3 linked regions of the Macaca fascicularis genome follow. The protein of the gene in region 1 interacts with the protein of each later gene in a pairwise test. Links are inferred from orthologs where the notes say so. Each region holds a gene or a part of one and is shown in the gene's direction. Other genes may lie near its edges.

Region 1 (4,947 bases):
TTTGTATAACTTATTGTCATGAATGGGTATTCACTCCCTTTATATTTTATTTGTACCAAATTGTTTAGTAAGCCTGGTTAAAGGTAAATCAAGTCCAAATTCCAGATTAGTGAAGCCATAATTTTGATTCTTTTGAGTCCAAAAATGAGCACATCTCAAATAAATATGAGTGATTAGGGTGAGGGGTGGAATTTATATGATAATTGTCATATGTAAGCCTGACCAGACTTTCTATATTTTCAGAGTTACATTGTGGATAACTTAGAGCTTAAAAAATTTATGAATTTGTGAACTAGGAAGTTGATTATACATTCAGTATTCAGATAATTTATATTGGAGGTTGGGATACTTTCTCCATAAAGGGGCAGCTAGTAAATACTTTATCTTTCAGGCCATGTGTTCTCTGTCAAAACTATGCAGTTCTGCAATTGTAGTGCAAAAGCAGATACAGACAATATGTAAAAGAATGTGTGGCTGTGTTGCAAAAAAACTTCATTTAGACAGGCAGCATGCTAAATTTGGCATGTGGACCATAGTTTACCTGGATTTATATTGTAAGATTTTGTGTAACATGCTCTGTGTTTCAGTAAATATATTACTGAATGTTATTCTCATGGACCGTTTAAGTTGAATGGACCCATATCATTTGTTCATTTAGTGAATGTGCTTTATTGTTTATTTGTGACTAGACATTGAGTCATTTTTTATTTGTGGACCATCTTCTTATTCCAGAAACCAAGAACTTGATTATAGTTTTCAAAAACTGTAAGCAGTTAAGCAACAAATTGCATTTTGCTCTACAATGCTGTAGAAAAATTACATTTGAGAGTGACTTTTCATTATAGTTCTGAATCTAGATTTTAATGTTTTCAAATAATTGCCACATCAGCTGTCCTTCCCTTGCTCATGACAGGTGTTACATAACATGGATTACAACACTTTCCTAATAAATCAGATGCCTTATACTCCTCAGTACAGCAATCTTAATTGGCCACTATGAATGAATAAGAATTTGCATGGGAAATGAAATCTCATTCAGTATGATATTGGCTGTGGGTGTGTCATAAATAGCTCTTACAGTTTTGAGATATGTTCCATCAATACTTAGTTTATTGGGTGTTTTTAGCATGAAGGGGTGTTGAATTTTATTAAAGGCCTTTTCTGCATCTGTTGAGATAATCATGTGGTTTTTGTCATTTGTTCTGTTTATGTGATGGATTACATTTATTGATACGTGTATGTTGAACTAGCCTTGCATCTCAGGGATGAAGCCAACTTAATCGTGATGGATAAGCTTTATGATGTGCTGCTGGATTCAGTTTGCCGGTATTTTATTGAGGATTTTCGCATTGATGTTTATCAGGGATATTGGCCTGAAATTTTCTTTTTTTGTTGTGTCTCTGCCAGGTTTTGGTATCAGGATGACGCTGGCCTCATAAAATGAGTTAGGGAGGAATCCCTCTTTTTCTATTGTTTGGAATAGTTTCAGAAGGAATGGTACCGCTCCTCTTTGTACCTCTGGTAGAATTCGGCTGTGAATCCGTCTGGTCCTGGCTTTTTTTGGTTGGTAGGCTATTAATTACTGCCTCAATTTCAGAACTTGTTATTGGTCTATTCAGAGATTCGACTTCTTCCTGGTTTAGTCTTGGGAGGGTGTATGTGTCTAGGAATTTATCCAATTTTTCTAGATTTTCTAGTTTATTCGTGTAGAGGTGTTCATAGTATTCTCTGATGGTAGTTTATATTTCTGTGGGATCAGTGGTGATATCCCCTTTATCATTTTTTATTGTGTCTATTTGAAATCCGTTTGTCATCGGGTTCTCATGTTTTAGAATAACAGTGATATCTTTGGAAAATACCTATTTTAGGAAGCCTAAAAATAAAGTTGGTATTATTTCATTAATGTTTATATATTTATTGTGAATGCTAAGTGATGAAATATTTTTATGTACACTTTTGGAAAGGTTTCGTAGTTTTTATTATATCTTGGAGCCCTTATCTTCTCTAAATCCTAAATCTTATACAGCTTCATTTTATGTTAAATATCAGGGGAATTACTGTAATTAGTTTACAGTTGGTTACACCATATATATTTAGCCAGCATGTAGATATCTGGGACTTGCAGATGTCTGGGACTTACAGGAAAAATTAAGAACCTCTGCACCTCAGAGTTTGAACATCATTGAAAAGAGCACTGAAGAAATTAACAAGGTAAAGATACAATTTCCCTACCACAATCAGATGTGAGGAGAGAAGAAAGTGGTTCAAAGAAGCAATTTAAATGACAGAAAAGAACTGACAGAGCTACAAAAAGGACAAGAAGAAACACCACCTCAACTTTGAGGCTTCTAAATAGTGATAATTAGTTTTAAGGATGTCATTATGTCATCCTGAGCTACTCTGTGTTCATTTATGCTAAATATTCTGTTTATGAGTGAAATGTATAATACATTTTTTAAATCAAAACTACTTAAAATGAATTTAATTGCATAATTATCTCTCAGTTAACATTTTGAAACCAGTCATCTTTGATTCGTTCTGATCTTTTACTCTTGACAAATTCTATCTGTTCTGCTGTTGAAATCCCCCTTCATTTCATCCTTAATATAGAATATCCTAATTCAGGTTCTTTGTTTTATCCCCTCAGTGACAGCAATAGTTCCTTAACCAGTCTTGTTATCTCTACTGAAATCTCTCTCTGTAGCCCATTTTTCCTGATGTTTCCCCATCTCATATATTTCAGATAATATACCAGTATTTACATATTGTATCAATTTTTCATTTTTTTCAGAAACTAAAATATGAAACAAGTACTTATATATATATATTTTTTCTTTTAGTCTGAGAATAAAGGATTAGAAACTACTAAGAACAATGTAGTTCAGCCAGTTTCAGAAGAGGGAAGAAAATCTAAATCCAAACCAGGTAGGTATAAATATAGTATTCAGTCTATGTAGGTTTTTTTAATCCTATGTAGAAACAAGTGCAAGCCAAGGGTAGTCTTAACAATTGAATATGCTGGCTTTAGTTCTGTGAATAGTGTGTCAAGGTATAGAGCAAGTTGAATTGGTGAGGTAACAATTATCTTAAAGTTTTTTTTTTTTCTTTCTTTCCTATTTAACTTTAGGAAACTGAAAGACCCCTCATTTCTTAATTGTTGAATGAGAACTACTGACTTGCACATTTTAAAATTTATTGGCATAGTGCATCATGTCATTTCTTGTTTGGCTATCTGAAAGTAGTAATTGCCTATGTGTACATTTGTTTTCATTTTTTCCCCTCAGTTTGAACTCAATATAAGCTGGTGATTAGAGTGTTTTTCTGATCTTTATAGATAAGCAGCTTATCCAGTATACTGCCTTTCCACTTCTTGCATTCCTCGATGGGAACCCTGCTTCTTCTGTTGAACAGGCGAGTACAACAGCATCATCAGAAGTTTTGTCCTCTGTAGATAAACCCATAGAAGTTGATGAGCTTCTGGATAGCAGCCTAGACCCAGAACCAACCCAAAGTAAGCTTGTTCGCCTGGAGCCATTGACTGAAGCTGAAGCTAGTGAAGCTACCCTGTTTTATTTATGTGAACTTGCTCCTGCACCTCTGGATAGTGATATGCCACTTTTAGATAGCTAAATCCCCAAGAAGAGGACTTTACATGTATATATTCATCAAAATGATGAACTATTTATTTTGAAGTATCATTTGGTACTTTTTTTGTAAATTGCTTTGTTTTGTTTAATCAGATACTGTGGAATAAAAGCACCTTTTGCTTTTCTCACTAACCACACACTCTTGCAAAGCTTTCAGATGTTACTCAGCTGCATAGTTACACAGATTTAATGCACATTATTGGCATATCTTTAAGTTGGATTCAAATGGCCATTTTTTTCCAATTTTGGTAAATTGGATTTCTTTTTATTACAATATGACCATTAACCTCAGTTAAATTTTTGTTTGTTTTCCTGTTTGATGCTGTCTATTTGCATTGAGTGTAAGTCATTTGAACTAATGGTATAACTCTTAAAGCTTTCTCTGCTCCAGTTATTTTTATTAAATATTTTTCACTTGGCTTATTTTTAAAACTGGGAACATAAAGTGCCTGTATCTTGTAAAACTTCATTTGTTTCTTTTGGTTCAGAGAAGTTCATTTATGTTCAAAGAAGTTTATTCATGTTCAACAGGAAAGACAAAGTATACATGAATGTTCACAGTCTGATAGGGTTCCAGCTCCATATATATAGAAAGATCGGGGGTGGGATGGGATGGAGTCAGCCCCATCCACTTAGTTGGACTAGTTTTAAATAAAGGTTTTCCGGTTTGTGTTTTTTTGAACCATACTGTTTAGTAAAATAAACACAATGAATGTTGAGTACTAGTGTCTGTTATGTGTCTTCTTTAGAGGTGACACTCACATGAAACAATTTTTTCTTCTCATAGGAAGCAGTGGCTTTAAACTGTCTATGGTTCATTACTCTCAATATGAGTCACACCAAGATCTTTGTACCACATCTCGAAAATATATTGTATATTGCAACGAGGGAGATATATCTCTAAATTTAATGTATTTTGAAGTTCTTTGTTTAAAAATTATACTGGGTTGCTTTCTATGTTTCTAATAAAAAAGTGGGAGAAGTATGCCCCTCATTGTCCCAAATAGGGTAAGAGTATTATCAGTGGATGTCTGGAGAGAAGATAAGAGAAATAGTAAAATCAGCTCTTTCTTTGAAACAGTCGCCCAAGAGAATTATAGAGACTTAATGCAAGGCCAGGGCACTTTTATCATGTGAAGAATTTCACCTTTGGGCAAAGGACTGAAAACAGTACAGTTAATATTGTATAGGGCTATTTAATGAGGAGTTTCAGGGCAGGTTTTCCTATTGGCCATATTCTGTCCATGTCTTAGAATTTCTTTTATTATGATGTAATGATTCAAAGTAAAGGCTAGCACAG
Region 2 (4,947 bases), on another chromosome or scaffold:
CCCTTGCTGGCCACACCAAAGCAGTGTCCTCTGTGAAATTCAGCCCGAATGGAGAGTGGCTGGCAAGTTCATGTACGTAGCACTGAGGTCCTTAGCTGCTGGGAAAGGCGGTCTGAGCTGCAGACAACAAACCGGCTGGGGGTGGCTGGCTTCCTCACCTGCCGCTGGGGGGCTGTAGCAGGTGGGCGTGTCTCCTCCTAGAACTGTGACCTTAGTGCCGATTGAAATTGCCCGTGGGGGCTGGGCGTGGTGGCTCACACCTGTAATCTCAGCCCTTTGGGAGGCTGAGGCGGGTGGATCACAGGGTCAGGAGTTTGAGAGCAGCCTGGCCAATATGGTGAAACCCCGTCTCTACTAAAAATACAAAAAAAAAATTAGCCAGGCATGGTGGCACATGCCTGTAGTCCCAGCTTTTGGGAGGCTGAGGCAGGAGAATCACTTGAACCCGGAAGGTGGAGGTTGCGGTGAGCCGACATCATGCCACTCCACTCCAGCCTGGGTGACAGAGCGAGACTCCGTCTCAAAAAAACGAAAAAAGAAATAGAAGAAGTTGCCCGTGGGCCCTTGGAGGGAGGGGAAGGGGACTGGTCCTCTCGGGGATGTGGCCGTGCGGAATGGGTTCTGAGCCATGTGGTTCATGCTGATCATCTGGGGCTCATGTGGGAAAAGCCCAGACTTTGGATTCTGGATGACTGGACAACTGTGTCTTGCTCTTAGCCTCCGATCCTTTTGTTTTCTTTCAGCCGCTGATAAACTCATTAAAATTTGGGGCGCGTATGATGGGAAATTTGAGAAAACCATATCTGGCCACAAGCTGGTAGGTTTCAGCCCCGTGCGGTAATGTTGACTGTTGAACAGGGTGGCTCCTAGTGATCAAGGGGTCAGGGCTGCTTCGAGAGCTGTGGGTTCAGGTTTAAATTTCCACGTTGTTTTTTTAGAGTTATTTGCATCTTGAACTTTTAACGCAAATACATTTGACTTCCCACGGAGGAGTGTCTGTGAGGCTGGCAGAGCTGCGGAAAGCCTGCTGTTTTCCTCCAGGGCCGCGTGTCTTTTGTAAGGTTAAGGCTAGTGAGAAGATTTCCTGAGGGCAATGGGGATGTTTGGGATTTTGACCTTTTGCTAACCGGTCCTACTTTGTCCTGGCAAGTTACTGACCCTGTTTTTTCTCCCCAAGGGAATATCCGATGTAGCCTGGTCGTCAGATTCTAACCTTCTTGTTTCCGCCTCAGATGACAAAACCTTGAAGATATGGGACGTGAGCTCGGTAAGCAACACTCAGCGCTCCTCTCCAGGGGAGACCGGCAGCGGGGCACAGGGCGGGTGGTGGGGACTGGGTTGACTGCTCGGTAAGCAGCACTCAGTGCTCCTCTCCAGGGAAGACTGGCTGCAGGGGCATGGGGCGGGGGCAGGTGGGGGAGGTCGAGTTGACTTCGGGGAACAGCCAGTTGCTGGCGGGGCATCAGGCATGCTCTGAGCTGTCAGGCATTGATGAATGTGATCCGACACTTATGTTTGGGGAAATAAGCACTGGAGTAATACTACTAATACTCTTGTTTTAGGGGAAGTGTTTGAAAACCCTGAAGGGACACAGTAATTATGTCTTTTGCTGTAACTTCAATCCCCAGTCCAACCTTATTGTCTCAGGATCCGTGAGTGTGGCCGGGGTGTCTTCCCTGGGGGAGGTGGTGTTGGATGTTGGGAAGGCTGTTGAACTTGCTTGTAGCCACTGTGGAGAAGGCAGGTGGGGCCCGAGTCCTTTCTGTGCTGTTTGTGGGGAGGATGGACTGGTGGCAGGTCTTGGGTTCTGGGGAGGTTTGCTCCTTCTCCTTCCTGTAGAATCACTGTCATTTCTTCTTTTGTGTTCAGTTTGATGAAAGTGTGAGGATATGGGATGTGAAAACAGGGAAGTGCCTCAAGACTTTGCCAGCTCACTCGGATCCAGTCTCGGCCGTAAGTCCTGCTGACACAGACGGGGTGGTGTCCGGCACTACGTGCCTCTGATGCTGGATGTGGCCAGCTGTCTCCCCGAGGGGCGTAAGCCTGGACGTTGCCTGTGCCTATCTGATTCCTGCTGTCATGCCACAGTCTAGAGCATTCAGGTTGGAGGCTGGGACCTGAGAGATGAGTCCTGTGTGCAGTAGAGGGATGGCAAGGGGGTGGTGAGGTGTCAGTGGGGTGCCCTGTGGTGAGCACCAAGGGGCCTTTCGTGCAGGCTGGATGAGGGGTGGGCAGTGGCCACAGGCGTTCAGAGGGTAGTGTACCCTGAACTGATGCATGGGACAGGAAGGGCGGCCAGGCTGAGAAGGGTGCTGGGAGTGGGAGTGTAGGTGAAGTGTGAGTTTTGAGTGGAGTTAGCTCTGGGCGGGGATGGCCCAGTCCTGGTGGGAACAGTTGGAAGCTGGAGCTCTCTGGAGAACAGGCTTTGCAAAGGAACACATCCTGCCATTCTGCTGTTGCTGTACCACTGTGCACAACAAATGACCGAGAGGCCGAGCATGGTGGCTCACACCTGTAATCTTAGCACTTTAGGAGGCCGAGGTGGGTGGATCACTTGAGGTCAGAAGTTTGAGACCAGCCCGACCGACATGGTGAAACCCCGTCTCTACTAAAACTATGAAAATTAACTGGGCGTGGTAGTGAGCGCCTGTAATCCCAGCTCCTGGGGAGACTGAGGCAGGAGACTCGCTTGAACCTGGGAGGCAGAGGTTGCAGTGAGCCGAGATCGTGCCACTGCACTCCAGCCTGGGCAACAAGAGCGAAACTCCGTCTAAAAAGAAGAAAACAAGAACAAATGGCCGAGAGTTAAAGTGTATGCAGTATCACAAACCGCTCCATTTCAGAGTGGCCAGAAGGTTCTTCTGTTAACAAAGTGCATGAGGCAGTTTCTCGGCGAAGCCTGCCCTTCGTTGAGAAGCGGAAGGAAAGGTGGATGCAGCGTTTGTGCCATGCTGCCCGCCAGTGTGGCATTCATTTTCTGTTGTCTTGGTGGTGAATGGGTTTAAGCATTTTTACCCTTGCAAGGCTTTGCCCGAGTGAGATGGCAGGCGAAGCCCTGGTACTGGCTGGATGGGTAGTGTGTCAGGCCAGGGCGGGGTGCGGTGTCTGAGCCCCGCACATAACCGGGCCACAAGGCCCTCGCAGGCCCAGTGTCACCGCTGCAGGGAGGCTGTTTGCTGTGGGAATGTCATCATGTGGCCCTGTGCTTGTGGCTGTGTGCTCGTGGGCCCAGCCCCTTGGTGCCAGTCCCCTGCCCTTCAGGGCACCTTGGGTCACAGTCAGCAGAACTGACTTTCAGACTGGGCTGACAAATGAACACTTGTGAAGTAACCTGAGAAAGGGGTTCGCTGGTGGCCTTTGAGTTGGAAGAAAGAATTCCATGAGCATCCTAGAGGCCAAAGATAGTGCAGGTGGGACTCGCAGGTGATAGGCAGGATTTTAAAAGTCTTTTTCCTACGAAAGTAGTTTGCTCATAAAAAGACAAAAACAAAAACAGGTTGGGTGCCATGGCTCCCACCTGTAATTCCAGCACTTTGGGTGGCTGAGGCAGGAGGATCCCGTGAGACCAGGGGTTTGAGACCAGCCTGGACAACAGAGTGAGACCCTGTCTCTATACAAAAAGCAAAAAATTAGCCAGACGTGGTGGTGTGCACGTGTGGTCCCAGCTACTTGGGAGGACAGGGTGGGAGGATTGCTTGGGCTCAGGAGTTTGAGGCTCTGGTGAGCAAGATGGTACCACTGCACTCCAGCCTGGGTGACAGAGTGGGACCCCATGTCTTAAAAAAAAAAAAAAACTACAAAGGTGAGCAAATGTAGGAAGTAGAAAATGAATTCCCTGAGTCACCCCTGGGGTCAGCTGCTGGGAGGTGGAGTCGGTCCCTCTGTGGTCTTCTACTTTGCTGTTTTAGGTGCGTCTTTTCCAGCGTAGCTCACTGCTGTCCTTTAAGTAACTGGTACTGCACCACAGCTGCTGCTCTGTAGCCGTCTCCACTGCAGAGAGGTTTGTGGGGGCTTTGTTTTTTCTTTTTTTTTTTTTTTGAGATGGAGTCTCACTCTGTTGCCCAGGCTGGAGTGCAGTGGTGCGATCTTGGCTCACCGCAACCTCTGCCTCCTGGGTTCAAGTGATTCTCCTGCCTCAGCCTCCCAAATAGCTAGGATTACAGGTGCCCACTACCACGACTGACTAATTTTTGTTTTTGTTTTTTTTTTTTTTTGAGACGGAGTCTCGCTCTGTCGCCCGGGCTGGAGTGCAGTGGCCGGATCTCAGCTCACTGCAAGCTCCGCCTCCCGGGTTTACGCCGTTCTCCTGCCTCAGCCTCCCAAGTAACTGGGACTACAGGCGCCCGCCATCTCTCCCGACTAGTTTTTTGTATTTTTTAGTAGAGACGGGGTTTCACCGTGTTCGCCAGGATGGTCTCGATCTCCTGACCTCGTGATCCACCCGTCTCGGCCTCCCAAAGTGCTGGGATTACAGGCTTGAGCCACCGCGCCCGGCAATTTTTGTATCTTTAGTAGAGACAGGGTTTCACCATGTTGGCCAGGCTGGTCTCGATCTCCTGACCTCAAGTGATCCACCCGCCTGGTCCTCCCAAAGTGCTAGGATTACAGGCGGGAGCCACCGTGTCTGTCCTGGGGCACCTTTGATGTCTGCGCACATCTATACTCTTGGACTGCTGGTGTGGGCCTGCTGTGTGAGCAGGGACTGTGCCAGTCCTCTCAGTGGGTGCTTATGTGTAATTCTCACTTGAACAAAAAGGAGTGCAGCGAACATCCTGTTTGCATCTGTGGCAGTTTGTGAAGGATGACTTTGGAGGGGAAATGCAGTAGTCAGGATATGTGTTTAGCTTTTTGACAGGTACATTTTGGAGCTTTAGAGACTTTGAGGCACGTGGCCCCCTGCTTACTGCCTCCCATCCCTGTCCCATCTCTGGCCAGGGTTTGCCCTCT
Region 3 (4,947 bases), on another chromosome or scaffold:
AGGTGGCAGTGAGCCGGGATCGGATCACTGTACTCCAGCCTGGGCGAGTATCGGCATTGGGGGAGTGAGGGGTCAACTGCAGGCGTGTAAGGTCAGCAGACTACCTCTGCCTCAAAAAGAGAAAAAATAATTAATAATAAAAACCTTAAGAGTACTACCGAGGAAGTGGGCTTTGAACAGCAGTTTTGATTCTGGCCTTAATCCTAAATTCCTAGTCTCTAGAGAGGTTAGAATGTTTGACTGTTGTGTGGTTCCCTTCTATCTGTGGGTCTGGTGGACTAAGCAACAGGCTTTATCACGTTTCTTTGGTTGCTTTGCTTTCCTTTTTTTCCCGGGTACTAGAACACACACTCACAGGGGAGAGGCAGATAGCCTTTTACCCCTGCTTAGGCTCCGCCTTTGTTTACTGTGGGGCAGATAGCTCTACTCCCAGCTTGCCTCCCCTTTGGTGAAGTTTAAATTCCCCAAGGACACGGTATCTCCCTGGTTAATGCATTTGTGAGCACAGGGAACTCAAGTAGTCCTTTACTCACAGGGCTGAAGCCTAACTTTCTAATACTCTTTCATTTGAATTTTCATCTGTGGCTTTTATCTAATAAGAGAAACCCCAGTGTGGCAGAAAGCCAGATTTAGGCTAATCCCCTTCTGTCCTTGGCCCTGTTCTGCCTGAGAGTACCATCCCACTGTCAGTTTCTTTACTGAAGGGGTTGACATATTTGGGAAATCTCTTTGGAGTGGAGGATAGCTGAAGCTGTTGTTAGCCGTCTTATAATGTGACTGAATTACTGCTGCATGCCACTCCTCCCCCAATCCCCCACCCAGGATCTTTGCTTCCTGGGCAGTGGAGAATCCTATTATTACCTGAAGGGAAGGACCACAGAATACTGTATATCCTCCAAGCTGGGCAGAGATAGGTCAGCTGAAACATCAAAACCACATCTGGAGGGGCATGCTAAAACCTAAGATGATTAGGAAAGTGCAGAGCTTAATGTTTCCCAGGGCCACAGGTAGCCTGGTCAACAAAAAGTAGGCCTGTTCAATCTCTTGGTACCCCTTGGTATTATATGACCTGACAGGGACAGGCACTGTGCATAGACTCATGAGGGAAAAGTCAGCTTGTCTTCCTTGTTCCTTTAAACAAAGTATCAAATCTTGATTCTGCAGGCTTTTGTTTCATTGTAAAGAGAACTGATCCTCTGTGCTAGCAGAAAAGAGAAAGGCAAGGTCCCATTCCCTCCCACCCCACCCCCGAGGGGTTCTCTGAAACTTTGCTAGGCCTCCCATCTCGGGTTCTGCTTTAGATACAGGCTTGTTCATGTGTGCATGCTCTTAGGAGGGCACCAAGATGTGTTTCCACCCCCTCCCTTTTCAGCCTTGCTAAGAATTCTATTGTAAATGCTGATTTGTGGGAGAAACTGCCTGAGCCAGCTTGCTGTCATGGCAACTATACACCCCCGCCCCAGAGCCTGTTATCTTCTACTCCAGTTTGGGTAACTACTGGTGAGCTGGATGATGCCTTACATTTCATGAGCTTCCTCTAAATCTAGTTGTATTTTTCGTCTGAGGTGGGTAAGTCATTTTACTAGCAGTGTCTCATAGTTCTTGCCTGATAGCCTTCACTTGTGGCCTTGTTGGGTTTGTGAGGATAAATGTGTGTTGTTACAGAGGACATCTGTTTTTCTGGAAGAGGCAGAAGCAGAGAATACTTGTCTTTGTGGTGTTTTGAATAGTGTAGTTAGAAGCACAAATGGTTTGTTAGTAATTTCAGCTTATGTTGACTTCTCGATTTTCTTTGCCTGGTGGCTAGATTAGCCCCAGCCCTCTGCTTCCCTTCCTAGTCTCTTCAACCACTCATGTTTGTATGTGGAAGTTTTTGTGCCAATCCTGATTGTTAAAAAGGAGTCTTTTGGTCTATATTCTTCCTCATCAGAGCTAGTGGCCCAGGCTATATCTATAGCTGCCCCAACTCCTGCCTGCCAGGAAGAAATCAGGGTAATAGAATTCAGGCACAATCTGGGCTATAGAAGAGAGATCGTGTTTACCAGGCACTTGGATAAGCATCTGAACTGGGTGGTGTAAGGGGCATATTAAATTCTCGTATATTGTTGCAGTCAGGGTACCTCCCACCAGTAAAGGTAGTGGGGAAGCAGTCATGGAAAGAGATTTTCCTACCATTAGAATTTATCCATCCACCTACAGGCTGCCTCCTTCTTTCCTTGTTTCTTATTCCATTGCTAGGGAAACCCATCCAGGATGGGTTTACTTGGACTCTAGCCTATACTTCATTGTGAGATGGAGGCCAGGGGGAAGATTGCCATAAGCTGTATTAGAGGTTGAAGCTAAGGGGATGGCTGGAGGAATAGAAAGGAGACAATTCAGAAATTTGGAGGAATGGTAGTGGGTGTGGTGGAAATGTTCTTTCTTTTTTGTTATGCTGTCAAAACAGATAATTTTAGCCAGAAGCAGCTCCTTGTAGCCAACTTAAAAAAGGAGTAGGGGGGCACAAGTTTAAGGGATGGTGAGTAGGCATCCCAACAATGTTCCATTCTTTTGCTTTCCAGTCTGGAAGGCTATTCTGGAAGACGTTCCCTTGGCTAGTTATTTTTCTGATATATTAGGGTAAAGTGATCATAGGAATAACAGTTTGAGTTAAGCAGCAATTAATAGGTAATCCAGGATTCCCTCTTTTTTTTTTTTTTTTTTGAAATAGAGTGTCACTCTGTTGCCCAGGCTGGAGTATAATGGCACGATCTCAGCTCACTACAATCTCCACCTCCCGGGTTCAAGCGATTCTCCTGCCCTAGCCTCCCGAGTAGCTGAGACTACAGGTGCCCGCCACCAAGCCTGGCTAATTTTTGTATTTTTTTTTTAATTAGAAATGGGGTTTCACCGTATTGACCAGGCTGGTCTTGAACTCCAGACCTCGTGATCCACCCGCCCCAGCTGCCCAAAGTGCTGGGATTACAGGTGTGAGCCACTACACCCAGCCAGGATACCCTCTTTAAGAAACCTTGCAGGCCGGGCGCGGTGGCTCACGCCTGTAATCCCAGCACTTTGGGAGGCCGAGGCGGGCGGATCACGAGGTCAGGAGATCGAGACCATCCTGGCTAACACGGTGAAACCCCGTCTCTACTAAAAATGCAAAAAATTAGCCGGGCGAGGCAGCAGGCGCCTGTAGTCCCAGCTACTCGGGAGGCTGAGGCAGGAGAATGGCGTGAACCCGGGAGGCGGAGCTTGCAGTGAGCCGAGATCGCGCCATTGCACTCCAGCCTGGGCGACTAAGTGAGACTCTGTCTCAAAAAAAAAAAAAAAAAAAAAAAAGAAACCTTGCTTATTTATTTATTTATTTATGTATTTATTCTACTTTATGAGACACTTAGACGGTTACTAAGGATGAGATATGCCTCTGAGCCAGAACTCAGGCAGAAGGAACACTTCATTGACTTTCTTTTCTGACTGCAGTGTGTTTAGGAATTTGAACTGAGTCCAGGAAGTGGGTGGTACTAACTCACTGGGCTGGGCAAGGAACTGAGTTTTAAACCACTCTTCCTGTGGAACATATGGGAGTTCGTTGATGGGAAAGGGAGGAAATATATATATATAAAGTTATGTCTGCTAGATCTTTTAACAGCTGAGCTAAGACAAGTTCTACCCTGCGAGACTCTGGCTTTTTCATGGTAGTCAACCCCGATCTTAATGTCGTAGTTACTTCTTTTCACCATGCCTCTGCTTCCCTTGTCCATTCTTTCCTTCAAATGCAGGCTGAGGCTGAGGTGGCCTCCTTGAACCGTAGGATCCAGCTGGTTGAAGAGGAGCTGGACCGTGCTCAGGAGCGGCTGGCCACTGCCCTGCAAAAACTGGAAGAAGCAGAAAAAGCTGCTGATGAGAGTGAGAGGTGTGTAGTGAAGCCTGATGGAGTGTGGATTTTAAAAGACATTCATAATAGTTCCGATCAAGATTTCCTTATAGACTGTTTTTCAAATAGCAGTTCTGGCTGCATGTGGTGGCTCACGCCTGTAATCCTTGCACTTTGGGAGGCTGAGGCAGGAGGGTGGCTCGAGCCCAGGAAATTGGGGCTGCAGTGAGCTGTGATTGCGCCACCGCACTCCTGGGTGACAGAGCAAGACCCTGTCTCAATCAATCAAGAAAAATAAAATACTAACTCTATCATACAGGATCTCCTTTCTTTCTTTTTTTTTTTTTTTTTTTTTTTGAGACAGAGTCTCGCTCTGTCGCCCAGGCTGGAATGCAGTGGCGCGATCTCGGCTCACTGCAAGCTCCGCCTCCAGGGTTCACGCCATTCTCCTGCCTCAGCCTCCCAAGTAGCTGGGACTACAGGCGCCCGCCGCCACGCCCAGCTAATTTTTTGCATTTTTGGTAGAGACGGGGTTTCACGATGTTAGTCAGGATGGTCTCAATCTCCTGACCTCGTGATCCTCCCGCCTCGGCCTCCCAAAGTGCTGGGATTACAGGTGTGAGCCACCATGCCCGGCCCAGGATCTCCTTTCTATTCTGCATGTTCTGTTCCTTTGAAGACAGTAAGGGTAACTTAGATGTTGTGACCCTTTTGTAATTGGTATTTCCCTACAAATTGGCCCAATGATCCTTAAAATGGGATCACCAGTATGACTTCCACGTTCTGGATCATAAATTTCTATTTGTGAGATTAATTTCTCTAAAACAGAGGTTCTCTAAGTAAGGTCTCAGACCAGCAGCATCGACAATACTTGGGAACTTGGTAAAAATTCACATTCTCAGCTCCTATCCTGATCTACTGAATGAGAAACTTTGGATGTGGGGCCTGGCAATCTGTTTTTAGTAAGCCTTCTCAACCCTGGTTGCATTATTAGAATCTTAGGTGGGGTAGGGGGGAAATCACTGGGGAATTTAAAACTGTGGATTCTTAGATCTCATCCCAGTTCCATTAGAATCAATTGCAAGAGGGGT

What was found.
Region 2: the proteins of HSF2 (region 1) and WDR5 interact in binary tests that used the Homo sapiens proteins (3 or more experiments, as listed by UniProt). The two-hybrid records come from large-scale screens. The link is inferred for Macaca fascicularis from reciprocal best matches to the Homo sapiens genes HSF2 and WDR5.
Region 3: the proteins of HSF2 (region 1) and TPM3 interact in binary tests that used the Homo sapiens proteins (3 or more experiments, as listed by UniProt). The two-hybrid records come from large-scale screens. The link is inferred for Macaca fascicularis from reciprocal best matches to the Homo sapiens genes HSF2 and TPM3.

Annotation. Positions count from the first base shown.
Region 1 is NC_088378.1:26,395,169-26,400,115, forward strand, and holds the end of HSF2 (heat shock factor protein 2), read left to right. Parts: intron 1-1,407; exon of another isoform or gene 1,408-1,563; intron 1,564-2,840; coding exon 2,841-2,925; intron 2,926-3,334; coding exon 3,335-3,630; 3' UTR 3,631-4,369; downstream 4,370-4,947. UniProt on the Homo sapiens protein: DNA-binding protein that specifically binds heat shock promoter elements (HSE) and activates transcription. In higher eukaryotes, HSF is unable to bind to the HSE unless the cells are heat shocked.
Region 2 is NC_088389.1:5,230,160-5,235,106, reverse strand, and holds part of WDR5 (WD repeat-containing protein 5), read left to right. Parts: coding exon 1-72; intron 73-743; coding exon 744-817; intron 818-1,177; coding exon 1,178-1,267; intron 1,268-1,562; coding exon 1,563-1,652; intron 1,653-1,869; coding exon 1,870-1,953; intron 1,954-4,947.
Region 3 is NC_088375.1:106,985,528-106,990,474, forward strand, and holds part of TPM3 (tropomyosin alpha-3 chain), read left to right. Parts: intron 1-3,761; coding exon 3,762-3,895; intron 3,896-4,947. UniProt on the Homo sapiens protein: Binds to actin filaments in muscle and non-muscle cells. Plays a central role, in association with the troponin complex, in the calcium dependent regulation of vertebrate striated muscle contraction.